3 linked regions of the Bombyx mori genome follow. The protein of the gene in region 3 binds, or shares a complex with, the protein of the main gene of each other region. Links are inferred from orthologs where the notes say so. Each region holds a gene or a part of one and is shown on either strand. Other genes may lie near its edges.

Region 1 (4,181 bases), on a different chromosome or scaffold from region 3:
TGATCAAATCGACATGTACTAATGTTTCTCAACCTCTAAAGTTCTTATAGTCTCATATTTATTACCTGCATTGGGCATTCAACCTAAGGGGCTAACGGTATCTCAATCTATTACAATAACAGTTTGAGCTATGGTTCGATAGCTGTTGGTTTTAGGAAAAACGAGTATGTGAGTTTGAGATAGTGTTTTTTAAGAAGTATCGAGTTGATGATGTTTATTTAATAATACATCCCCGCAGACTATTGAGATTCAACCTATAATCATATTTGTAGACATTAAATAGTCATGGCGCCGCAATTCCAAGGAGTATCCCTGCAATCTTCCGAGAGTATCGGGATACTTGGGGTCAACATTTCGAGCGATGTCCAGTTTCGGAGTCATTTGGAAGGCAAAGCCAAGTTGGCGTCCAAAATGCTGGGAGTCTTCAATAGAGCGAAGCGGTACTTCATGCCTGAACAAAGGCTTTTGCTTTATAAAGCACAAGTCCGGCCTCGCGTGAAGTACTGCTCCCATCTCTGGGCCGGGGCTCCAAAATACCAGCTTCTGCCATTTGACTCCATACAGAGGATGGCCGTTCGGATTGTCGATAATCCCATTCTCACGGATCGTTTGGAACCTCTGGGTCTACGGAGGGACTTCGGTTCCCTCTGTATTTTGTACCGTATATTCCATGAGGAGTGCTCTGAGGAATTGTTCGAGATGATACTATCTGGAGCCACTGCGGTCATCCACAGTGCGTTTCCAGAGGTCTTTTTTGCTACGCACTATCCGGCTATGGAATGAGCTTCCCTCCACGATGTTTCCCCGTGCGCTATGACATGTACGTCTTCAAACGAGGCTTGTGGAGAGTATTAAGCGGTAGGCAGCGGCTTGGCTCTGCCCCTGGCATTGCTGAAGTCCATCCACTCACCATCAGGTGGGCCGTATGCTCGTCTGCCAACAAGGGCCGGAAAAAAATTATTGTAATCTCATAAATGCTTTTTTATGGTAGCTTAGTTTTTATATATACACAAGGTTCTACAATAAATACTGGAAGAACGAGTAGTGATATTGTTTCATAATCGTAAAAATATCAGAAATGATACTATACCACTAAAAAAAAAGTAAGTGACCATAACATTGTAGAAAAATAACGTAACAACGTGAAGAAACTGAATCCGAACAGACTATTATGAACAAGAAAGACATGGGGCCATGCATGAAGTTTAATAATTAAATTAACCTCATGCATGGCGCACTTCGGAAAACATTTTTAAATTCTTGCGATGGCAAGGACATTAAATGCGTACATCTACACCTAAAAACAAAATGGCGATTGAGAATTGGCGCCTTTTTGTTTTTTTTTCACATCTAGCAACTATTGAATAGTACCACGTGAACTACCTCATCCAATCAGCTGGTAAATCCAAAAATCCCGCCTCTTGCATCGTTTCCTTCTCGTCCCGCGCTGCGTTGGTGATGGTGCTTGGATTCGCGCATTTAATATACTTTAATTAAATGTTAAAAGTTTATCAATGTTACATATATTAATAGAAACTTTAAACTGTAAAAGGTTCATTTATCGGTTCAAAAATTGGCTATAGTTTTGGTTCTAACCCATATTTTTGTCGCCATTTTGACCTGTGATTTTGGTCATACGAATTGAGTAGGTATTATTTAATTTGTTTCGTCATCAACAATTGTCCTACGTTGTTCTTATGAAACATAAATGGACGTCCAAATTCAAGGAGTGTGGAGAAAATGTCCCAAACTAATAGTACAATAAATTACCTTATCCATGATGCTAACGGTTAGTAGAGGTGCTACTTTAGTTTACGTGACACTTGTTTTTCCTATCGGATTTAAGACTTTGTATTGCAAACAAAGCCTAGATCAATTGGACCAAACTCAAGACTAGTAGCTTAGCTTTAGTTATTATCTTCGACGCCTTTTATTCTGCCGAAATAAACATCATCACAGCGTTTGTTTATTACGGAGATATTTTTTGTTTCAATCAGCTGATGGCACCGACGCTTCAGTAAGTCTTTAATTTAGATTATAAATACATAAAGACTCGATGATATGTCCTGCAGGACTTCCTCAAGTGGTGAAAGTGCTGGAAACTACAAGTAAACCACTGATTGCTCAAATCGAAGCAGAACCGAAAGAGAGTCCAGTTAAAATTGTTACTGTATCACCTGTTCCGGTCAAATGTGCAAAGGTATGATTATTCGCAATTTTTTTATATATGAAACCACTATATGTTTTACATATATTATTATAAACATTATTTATTTACGCTTCATTAGACTAAACTTTTAGTTAGAGTAGTAATGTATATGTTGAATAAACTTTTAATAAACAGAACGAACGAAATGACATGAAATATAATAATAATTACTTTCCTTTGTCACTGTGGTTAACCTAAGCTTTTGGGGTTCTAATATAATTTAGATTTAGTTGGGTGAACTGAGCCTACCTATGCCCTTATGCCCTACTGTAATTTGATTTGAATTTGAAAAATATTCTACAACTAATGAGGACTCCCTAGTTCTTGTATTTTTTTATTACTAGATAGGTGGATGAGCTCATGATCCACCTGGTCTAAAATGGTTACTGGAGCTTATGGACATCTACAATGTAATTGCCTCCATCCACCACGAGACTAGTTCTAAAGTCTCAGTACTTACATCTTACATAGGTCAATAGGTACCAAACCAGAATTAGCAATTTGATTATCATTTACCATTCAGTTTTATATGAGTATACTCTTTAACAGATACCTGTTCCAGCCAGTTTTGCAAGATTTGGAATTGTTCAATACAAACAAAGTAAGTTTTCAGCATGACAGGGTTTGTTGACAGAAAGTAGAAAGTAACCAAGAATCCTATTTAATATATAACTGTATATTTTATTGCTTAGATGGCTGGATGAGCTCATGGCTCACCCGGTGTTAAGTGGTTACCGGAGACATCAACAGTCAATGCCGCCGTCAACCTTGAGACACAAGTTCTAAAATGTCAGTTTTTACAGTATAATAACATATACTCCACCCTTCAAAGTGAAATGCATCTGCTTCACAGCAGAAATAGGCATGGTGTAATAGCAAATAATTTAGCTTCTTGCATACATTTGAGACTTCAACCTCATTTCTCAATGTAATCATACATGTAATTTAGTGCTTTGCGAATTGTTAGGTACATCTACATCCAAAAAAATTTAATAAAAATAAAGTGAGCAAGTAGTAATGAATGTCAAATATATACAAATTTAGGAAGTATTTTGTTACTAAAATTTTGCACACTATATTAATCTTAGTTCTGGGTGTTTTAGTATCACTGTTTACAAGTATCAATACTTCTGCTATGGAACATAATCTAATTTTTAATACATACATACACTATAAAAAGAACATCTTGATTGACTATCCAATATTAAAATAATCCACATGATGGTGGTAATTAATGTTAGATAAGCTGATTTATGAACAAACTTATATAATTTGAATTAGTCCATCAATTCACTTCATTATACATTTCAAAATTATGGTGAGAAATTATGCCTACAATATAAACATACATATAAATCAATAAGTATCACCCCTCTTAGAGATCTGAAGTTGTAATATCAATTGTTTTATATAAGGGCTGTCCGGCCCATCAAACCAGAACTCTCGACTGCTTTGTGGCAGAAATAGCCAAAATAGTGATATCTATTTACTCAAGTGGTCTTAAGATACTTCCCACTAACAGATATTACACAATGTCTTAAGACACAATAAGATCCAAATGATTAATGGAGGTTTTGAACCTTGTCATAGCCACATCACTTGATATAAATTCATCAGGTGTCTTACGATTCCGATTTCGCAGTGGAGATTTTCCTGTTGAGTCTGTAATTATTGTCACCACTGTCTAACCTTGTTCTTAAAGGCTGTTTTGCAATAGTCAAAGATCACGTTTACTAGTCTCTATACAGTAAAAGTTTATTATTCGCGGGGTTGAAGCATAATAAAAATATGCCGCGAATACAGTAACCGTGAATAGGGAAGGGTAATTTGCGTATATGGAGGTTATAGGGGACTCTTCGCCTCGAACTCGACTGAACGACGGGGGTGCCACACCACCGAACATCCCCCGGTGTGATAGTTCCCTGCCGGAGATCTACTTTGCACAGTGTGCAGTCAGGTGGGAACTCCGACT
Region 2 (4,150 bases), on a different chromosome or scaffold from region 3:
CTAAAGAGAATATTATTAAGGTTTGTTTTTCAAGGAAGACATCTTTTTCACTATTTGTAAGAAACAAAGATCATTTTTCAACAAAACTGGCCCAGTCCACATTTATAGTAATGACATGAAAGCCGATGTACCATGCACTTTCCCGTCGTAGTTCTTTATTAGCTCCTCGATGAATGTACCATCCTGATCCAGGACCTCGTCTCCCATGTATGGAATGTTGTGCAGAACAGTCTCATCTTCTACCATAAAATTTTTCTGTGTTGGAGCCCATGTATACATCGTCGGAATTGGATTCACAGAGTTGATTATTCTTATTGGTACCTGTTGGGTTGTCACTACACCTGAACCTGCAAAATATTTTAATTCAGTAAGTAGTAGGAAGTCCTCTAAACTGTTTTGCTCTCAATATGAAAAACTAAGTCTATGTCTTTCATGAAAAAAAAACCGAAAAGGAACACCATATGGAATCAGCAGTTCAGAAGGGTTGAGTATTTTGGGTTGTACGTCAAAGTAAATGGGAATTAGAAACTTTTTTGTTATTAAGTTTAGTTCATTAGAGAAAAATGTTTTGAGTGCATAGAATAGTTAATTTTGTTGCTGATAACACTGCAACAAAATTTTGCAATTCTTAAAAAACTACTTAGCAACTCTGGAACTTTTTTGTTTTTTATATGGTGTACATTACTGCGATAAGGCTAAAACATTATGTTTACAGTACAGGACAGTGGAACATATTTAGCAGTTCAACACTCTATTGGCCTGTTGTGGTTGAGCTTGCCACTAAATCAAGACAGGGCTAGTCACACACACATTTTATTGAAACTCAAAAATGCAAAGAGGTTAGGAGTTTAATTAATCCCAGTGACAGAAACTGTTAAAAGCTAATAGCCTCTAACCAATTTATGGGCTATTGGTTGATAAGTGCTGACAGAAAATGTGATTAATAAGACAGCAGTTGATAAGAATTGATAATAGAAAAGTCAATTAATAGGCTTGCAGTCGATATAGTCTATCTTAATTGATGTAGACAAGACTTGTAGGCAATGGCGGATCCAGAGGGGGGGGGGGGTCATGGGGGTCATGACCACCCCATGAGCTGGTTCCAGGACTTAGGTGGACCACTAATTGAATATAATGATTTTTTTTATATATATTTTGTCACCATACAGATTTTATGTAACTACATACCTTCAATATTTAATTAATTTAATATAATATAATAACTTTGTATAATGGCAAACGTTTGGGAACGAACGCATCTAAATTTGACTATGTGACCCCCTCCTGGCGCCAAAGCTGTATCCGCCCTTGCTTGTAGGTAAGGTAAGATACAAATGATATTATTTTTTCAAATTATGGGTTGCAATTGCTTGTGGGACTTTTAAATTATTTTCCTTCTGAAATTGGATTACGGAGTTGTGGTGCCCACCCTAAAATTTCAGAAATGCAAAACAATTTTAACAGCTAAGAGGATCACTGTTTCTTTGGTGGCTACAGGAAACCACGACGCGATGAAGCTACCCACCATAAAACAAAATACAGCGAGGATCCAATCATTAAAACCGGAACACACGACTGCTTCGCATCATGAGGTAGCATGGTGGTACCCACTTGCGCGGATTTGCATTTAATGAACACTACATGGTTAAGTAAGGGCAAAGTTAAGATTTACCGTCTGTATAGGTAACTTCGGCCCTCTTCATAAGGCTCTCATGGCTCGATGTAGGCGCCGGCGGGGGCCAGAAGGGCCGTTTAGTACGATCCGTAGTTTCCGCCTCAGGCATCTCTATAGCTTCGGACATTATTTGCAAATTGCGCGCCCATGCTACTTTCACTTCATCAGCGCGTTTGAAACGCTAAAAAAATTTACATTACATTCATATCCAGATTCATATATCGTAAACTTCAATATTGTCATTCTGAGTTACCTTTACTTGTCGAAGCCGCATGTACTCTGACTTAACTCTCTTCTTCCATTCAGCTGATACTTTCGATTTACTCATTTTCAAAATATTTTAATTCGGCTATTCACATTTTACAAACTTACACCTTAGAGCTATACCCATCAGTGTTGCCGCTGGGCCAACATTGGGTTGCCGTACTGGAGAAAAAAATCTACCGTATTTAAACAAAAATTGCCGTACAAAGTAATTCAAAGTTTATTATTATTTATTTCTAGGATGAAATTAAAATAATACATATTTTTCACTCCTCTCTTCTCATCAAATCTGTATTATTGCCTAAAGTAAGTTCAGTTTCAATAATCTGATCTTTTCCGTAATTTGATGGGTTTTTTTTCATTTATTGATCATTTCGGGGGTTGGCTTAAAGCTCGTACAGTACTATTTGCTAATATTGTTCCATTTATGGTAGATGTTAAGAGGCGGTTTCTTTGTTTTGTTTTGATTAGATTTACTGCACTGAAGATTCTTTTTATACACATTTTATACATTAACTCATGTATCACTACACTGCACTTTTTCAAATGTCAAAATGAAGCTACACTTGCTAGTACAAACAATGACACAAGAGCGAGGCGGCGAGGCGACTTGAGGAGACGACTCGAAGAGCAGGCGTTGTAGGTTGTAGGGAATTCCCCGTACCAAACATAAAACATTGTCTATTACAAGAGTTGGATGCGCTTATGTTTACGCAAAAAGTATTCACGTTCTGTAATCACTTTAGATACATTAATTGTTTTTTTAGCTTTATGCTCTTGTTGCCGTATTTTAGAATACGGCAATGACCACTCTGCCGTATGCCGTACAATTTGTCTTTTAGAAGCATGATTGCCGTACGAAACGGCAATTGCCGTACATTTGGCAACGCTGATACCCATAGACATATTTATTTTTTTGCGATTTTATGACCTGGTATTTAAAACCTTTAGGTCAAACCCATTGGCCATAGATAACATAAATATACACTTGCTTAGGCTTCGATCAACACTATTTTTGATCGAAGTGTTTAGGTAATTCATTTATTTAGAATCTTTTGTAATGGCTTTTTTTAAGATACTATGGCCTGGTAACCGAGATCGTTAAGCGAATACTTATATTTTATTCATAGGTTAAAAAAATTTGCAACAACATGATTATTATGAGACTTTAATTAAATGGGATTGAATGAAATCCAACGAAATAAGATGTGATAAAATTCGTTCGCAATAAAATGGTAGTTATTTACTGTAACTTATTCAATAGGTTTTTCGGTAGGCAGCGGCTTGGCTCTGCCCCTGGCATTGCTGAAGTCCATGGGCGACGGTAACCACTCACCATCAGGTGGGCCGTATGCCCGACTGCCTACAAAGGCAATAAAAAAAAAAAATACTTTTTGGAAGAATCTGAGAAACTACGATCAGTGCCTTTGTTTAATTTTTGTATATTTTTGCACTTTTACAGATACTGAACAGTTTTAAGCGTGAAGATACACTAAGTTAACAAAATAAAGCAATTCACACCACTTCAATCCCCCCCTTTCCTACTAAAACCACAGACGAATTTTGATCGAAGATACGGTGAATGTCCCTGTATGAACCAATTCCGAGAAGTAGTTGGTGGGGACAAAGAGTTAACATGCTGTGCCGCTCCAATTTAGCTATCTTTCTTTTATTTTTATTTTTCGGATGCTTGTAGTTGTTGTTGTATCAAATTAGCATTACTATAATTACATCTTACACGTACGTCTTAATCAGTTGCGGACGTAAAGTGTTTTTTTTTTAAATAAATAAAAGCTAATAACACGTTTCTTTTAGCCAAATAAAATATTATTTTAGTAGAGGGGAAGAAGCCGATCGAAGAAGACATGGATGGAGTGTGTGAATGACAATACGAGAGTGAAAGGAGTAAGTGTTGAGCTGACGGCTGATAGAAGAGAATGGAAGAGAAAAATTAGCTGTGCCGACCCTACTTAGTGGGATAAGGTGAAGAAAAAGAAGAAGAAGAAGAAGAAATAAAATATTATTTTACTTTAGTCTTCATTTTACTTTCAAACATTATGTTTTGTTCTCGACAATAAGTACGTGTTATATATAATTCATACTTTAAATATCCCGTCATAATCTGTTATTGGATTTTCTTAATACCAGAAGGCCACTGAGTATCTCGCCACCGGTCTTTTTAGTGGTTTGCGAATTCGATCTGGTGGTAGA
Region 3 (3,753 bases):
GACATCAACGCGACGCCAAAGGAGGGGCGGGTCATCGAAGCGAAGTCCGTGTTCACCGGCCACACGGCCGTCGTCGAGGACGTCGCGTGGCACTTGCTACACGAGTCGCTCTTCGGATCCGTGGCTGACGACCAGAAACTGATGATATGGGACACCAGGTAACACCAACAACTAACTTTTTGAGGTTCTTTTTTATTGCCCCTTGTAGGCAGACGAGCATACGGCCCACCTGATGGTGAGTGGTTACTGTCGCTCACGAACGTCGGCAACGCGTGGGGCAGAGCCCAGCCACAGCCTACCATTTGAAAAGTTACAATTGTAAATATAAAACATTATAAATGAGACAAGATCAAGACATACTGATTATGTAATTGTGAATTGTACAATACTTATTAACTAAGAGACCTATTTAAGACAATCATGATAATAAAATCATTAGTTTGAATATGAAAGTGCTTTTCCTATCATGGCATGATAACACAAACAGGAGGTTGTTTTCACATATTTCTGCAGATAACTTGTATTTGGTATTGACCTTCATTACTTGTTAATAATTACCTTTAATTATTTTTTTATGATATAATGACACATTTCGTTTAAGTGTAATAATGAGGTATGCATATATGGTAGTAATAATTAGTAAAATAGAGCACAATTATGTTGTAATTACAGATGTAATAATACATCGAAACCATCTCACACAGTGGACGCACACACCGCTGAAGTTAACTGCCTCAGTTTCAATCCCTATTCAGAGTTCATTCTTGCTACTGGCAGTGCGGATAAAACGGTAATGTTACTAATTTTAATTCAAATATACACATCTAACAAGTCAAAACTTCCATAGCGTTTTGCTTATTATTTAATTGTAATATTTATATATCAATTTTTTGTAATTTAACGAAACTTGTGTTCACAAGCTTTGAATTCAATCAGCTCATGATACACTGAAAAATGAAACTACAGTTTTAATATCATAATAAACTAAATAATAAATAGCCTATCCTTAATAATAGGTTAACTACTATAACTATAAATATAATTTCCGTCTAGGTTGCGCTTTGGGATCTACGCAATTTGAAATTAAAGCTACACTCGTTCGAGTCGCACAAAGACGAAATATTCCAAGTACAATGGTCGCCACACAACGAAACTATTCTCGCGAGCAGTGGTACCGACCGAAGGTAAAATTACAGATAATTGAATTTTCAAACTTTTTGTTACATCTTGTGTACAGACAAGAACTCTCAAAATAATAGTATTAAACGGTAGGTAAAATAAAATCAACACCCATAAAAAAAACAGATATGGAATTGAAGTTGCAAAGTAAATATAAAAGCTCAGACTTCTTGTGGGCTTACAGCCACTTTTTGGGCTGATTTTAAAAATCGTAAACATGTACATCTAATTTTTACGCTTTAAATTTGGGAAAATGCACAATACTCAAGAACTGGGTTTGCTGATTGCTGTACGAGACAATAATTATTATGAAAGTTACTTCATTACTTGTTTTTTTAGACTCCATGTATGGGACTTGTCAAAGATTGGCGAGGAACAGACAGCTGAAGATGCAGAAGATGGACCCCCAGAATTATTGTTCATACATGGAGGACACACCGCTAAGATATCTGACTTCTCATGGAACCCTAATGAACCATGGGTCATCTGTTCCGTCTCTGAGGATAACATTATGCAGGTATGCTAAAATTATAGGTTGAATGTTTTTAGCTTAGATAGGCACCTTTTGGGAGAAAGCTGTCAGAAAACATTAATATTATAGTTGATCTTAATGCATAAAATATAATTGCTTTGCTAAAATATAATTTCTCCCTAGCACATAATTATTTATTGGTGTTAGAACTTCTTGTGAGTACACGTGGGTAGGCACCACCACCCTGCCTATTTCTGCCGTGAAGCAGTAATGCGTTTCGGTTTGAAGGGTGGGACAGCCGTTGTAACTATACTGAGACCTTAGAACTTGTATCTTAAAGTGGGTGACGCATTTACTTTGTAGAGCTCGTCCACATATATATGCCATAAAAAAAAAAAAAAAAACTACAAATCTAGGCTATTTGATAAATATTTCGGCACATCATCTCGGATCCTTCTAACAGTGCTTTTAGGTACCCCAAGCACCGGTCATCGTTCTTGTCGAACCCGTCGCTTGCGACTCACTGAGTTTCTCGCCGGATCTTTTCAGTCGCGGTTCAGACTTGGTGGTAGCTTCTTAGAATAGGTAGAAAAAAAATATATATTTGGTATTTGTTGTACATTGATTCGGTGCGGTATCTGTACAGGTGTGGCAGATGGCTGAGAACATCTACAACGACGAGGAGCCGGAGACGCCGGCGTCGGAGTTAGAGTCGGCCGTCAACGTCAACCACGGCTAGTCGTCCTGTCTGTACGACTCATGTGCTCTGTGGAGAGTGTGAAATAACAACATTGTTTAACATTCACTTTTTAATCGTTAATCTGTGAGATAACTCTGCTACAACCGAACAATAATGGGGTACAAGTTTTCGGAACTGTTCTTAGTTCTATAGAATTTTTATCATGTAAACGTTATACAAAACACTAAAATCTTGTTGGAAAAAATGACATTTATTAAAATGCTTTGTAAATATCATTATGAAATTTAACTAACTAATGATCTGCTATTCTAGCTAATTATCTGAGTTTTTTCGAAATATTACAAACAGCATTTTTTACTTCTAATTGAAATTACCACAAAATTTTATATTTTCAATATTTAAATGCAAAAAGTTGTCCCGTTTTTCATACTTTTCAAACTATTTGACAGTAAACAGTATATTAAACATACAAGTATAGATGTAGTGAGAAACTATTTTCCTTCGGGAAAACTCTTGATCTTTATCGGAATACGATGACACCCGAACTGTCAATGAATGATCGTATTAAATGAGTGACATTTTCATATCCATTAATAAGGAACTTTATTGTTTAGTCTCAAATGTCAAAATGACATTGTATAATATAGAGATGCTGCAACCATAACAATTATTACTTAAAACAGGATATTTACTAGGGTATTATACGAAATGAATTCCCGATATTTTTAAGTAATAATTGTTATGTTCGGGATGTGTGGACATAAGTTTCGTCAGTATTATACACAATATCTGCCTTCAGATCTATACTTCCTTATTAAGTCTACGTACTTTACTCTTTTAAGTCTAACGTCATCTTTTCCATCAGCATTTTCCTATTATTAGCAATTTTCTTCAATAAAAAACCCAGTAGTGTAAAATCACATTCTTTGAAATTCATCGTTTCTATTTATTTGGGCTTTAGTGCTTTTATTGTAGGGACTTGTTTATAAATGAGATGAAAGCTATAAACCATTCGTCGTATCACTGCATAATCAAAATCATCAAGATCTAGATAGATTTTCATGCATGGTCTACCCATCTTAATTTTGTTTGTGTTGGTATTTTTATTATTTCTGTATTCTTCCTCCTGGTTCAAAATATTCTTATTGTTGGTCTAGTTGCGTTTGAAATTCGCTGTTGAACTTTGTCAAAATACTCTTGAGTTGTTGCTGTTTTTGAATTTGCTATTTTCCGATATGAAGTACAGGTAAAACTTAAATAAAACTTTTCCGAAAAATTACGAAGTAAAATCTTTTCTCATTATATCTATAAAGTGAATCGTTACATAGCATACAAATAGGTACATAGGCTAAATATAACTTTAACATTAGCAATTGTTCTAATATTTTGGGCAATTGGTGTC

The links. Proteins that work in one complex are often made in the same cells at the same time.
Region 1: chromatin assembly factor 1 p55 subunit (region 3) and transcription factor Dp-1 share a complex: the UniProt entries of both Drosophila melanogaster proteins name them as parts of the DREAM complex. The link is inferred for Bombyx mori from reciprocal best matches to the Drosophila melanogaster genes Caf1-55 and Dp.
Region 2: chromatin assembly factor 1 p55 subunit (region 3) and histone-lysine N-methyltransferase E(z) share a complex: the UniProt entries of both Drosophila melanogaster proteins name them as parts of the polycomb repressive complex. The link is inferred for Bombyx mori from reciprocal best matches to the Drosophila melanogaster genes Caf1-55 and E(z).

What each region holds. Positions count from the first base shown.
Region 1 is NC_085110.1:8,925,391-8,929,571, forward strand, and holds the start of transcription factor Dp-1, read left to right. Parts: upstream 1-1,381; 5' UTR 1,382-1,740; coding exon 1,741-1,789; intron 1,790-2,072; coding exon 2,073-2,200; intron 2,201-2,758; coding exon 2,759-2,810; intron 2,811-4,181. UniProt on the Drosophila melanogaster protein: Component of the DREAM complex, a multiprotein complex that can both act as a transcription activator or repressor depending on the context. In follicle cells, the complex plays a central role in the site-specific DNA replication at the chorion loci.
Region 2 is NC_085117.1:20,094,587-20,098,736, forward strand, and holds the start of histone-lysine N-methyltransferase E(z), read right to left. Parts: upstream 2,801-4,150; 5' UTR 2,004-2,800; coding exon 1,929-2,003; intron 1,857-1,928; coding exon 1,673-1,856; intron 348-1,672; coding exon 132-347; intron 1-131. UniProt on the Drosophila melanogaster protein: Polycomb group (PcG) protein. Catalytic subunit of the Esc/E(z) complex, which methylates 'Lys-9' and 'Lys-27' of histone H3, leading to transcriptional repression of the affected target gene.
Region 3 is NC_085109.1:4,082,580-4,086,332, forward strand, and holds part of chromatin assembly factor 1 p55 subunit, read left to right. Parts: coding exon 1-158; intron 159-672; coding exon 673-790; intron 791-1,053; coding exon 1,054-1,184; intron 1,185-1,518; coding exon 1,519-1,696; intron 1,697-2,297; coding exon 2,298-2,390; 3' UTR 2,391-3,753. UniProt on the Drosophila melanogaster protein: Core histone-binding subunit that may target chromatin assembly factors, chromatin remodeling factors and histone deacetylases to their histone substrates in a manner that is regulated by nucleosomal DNA.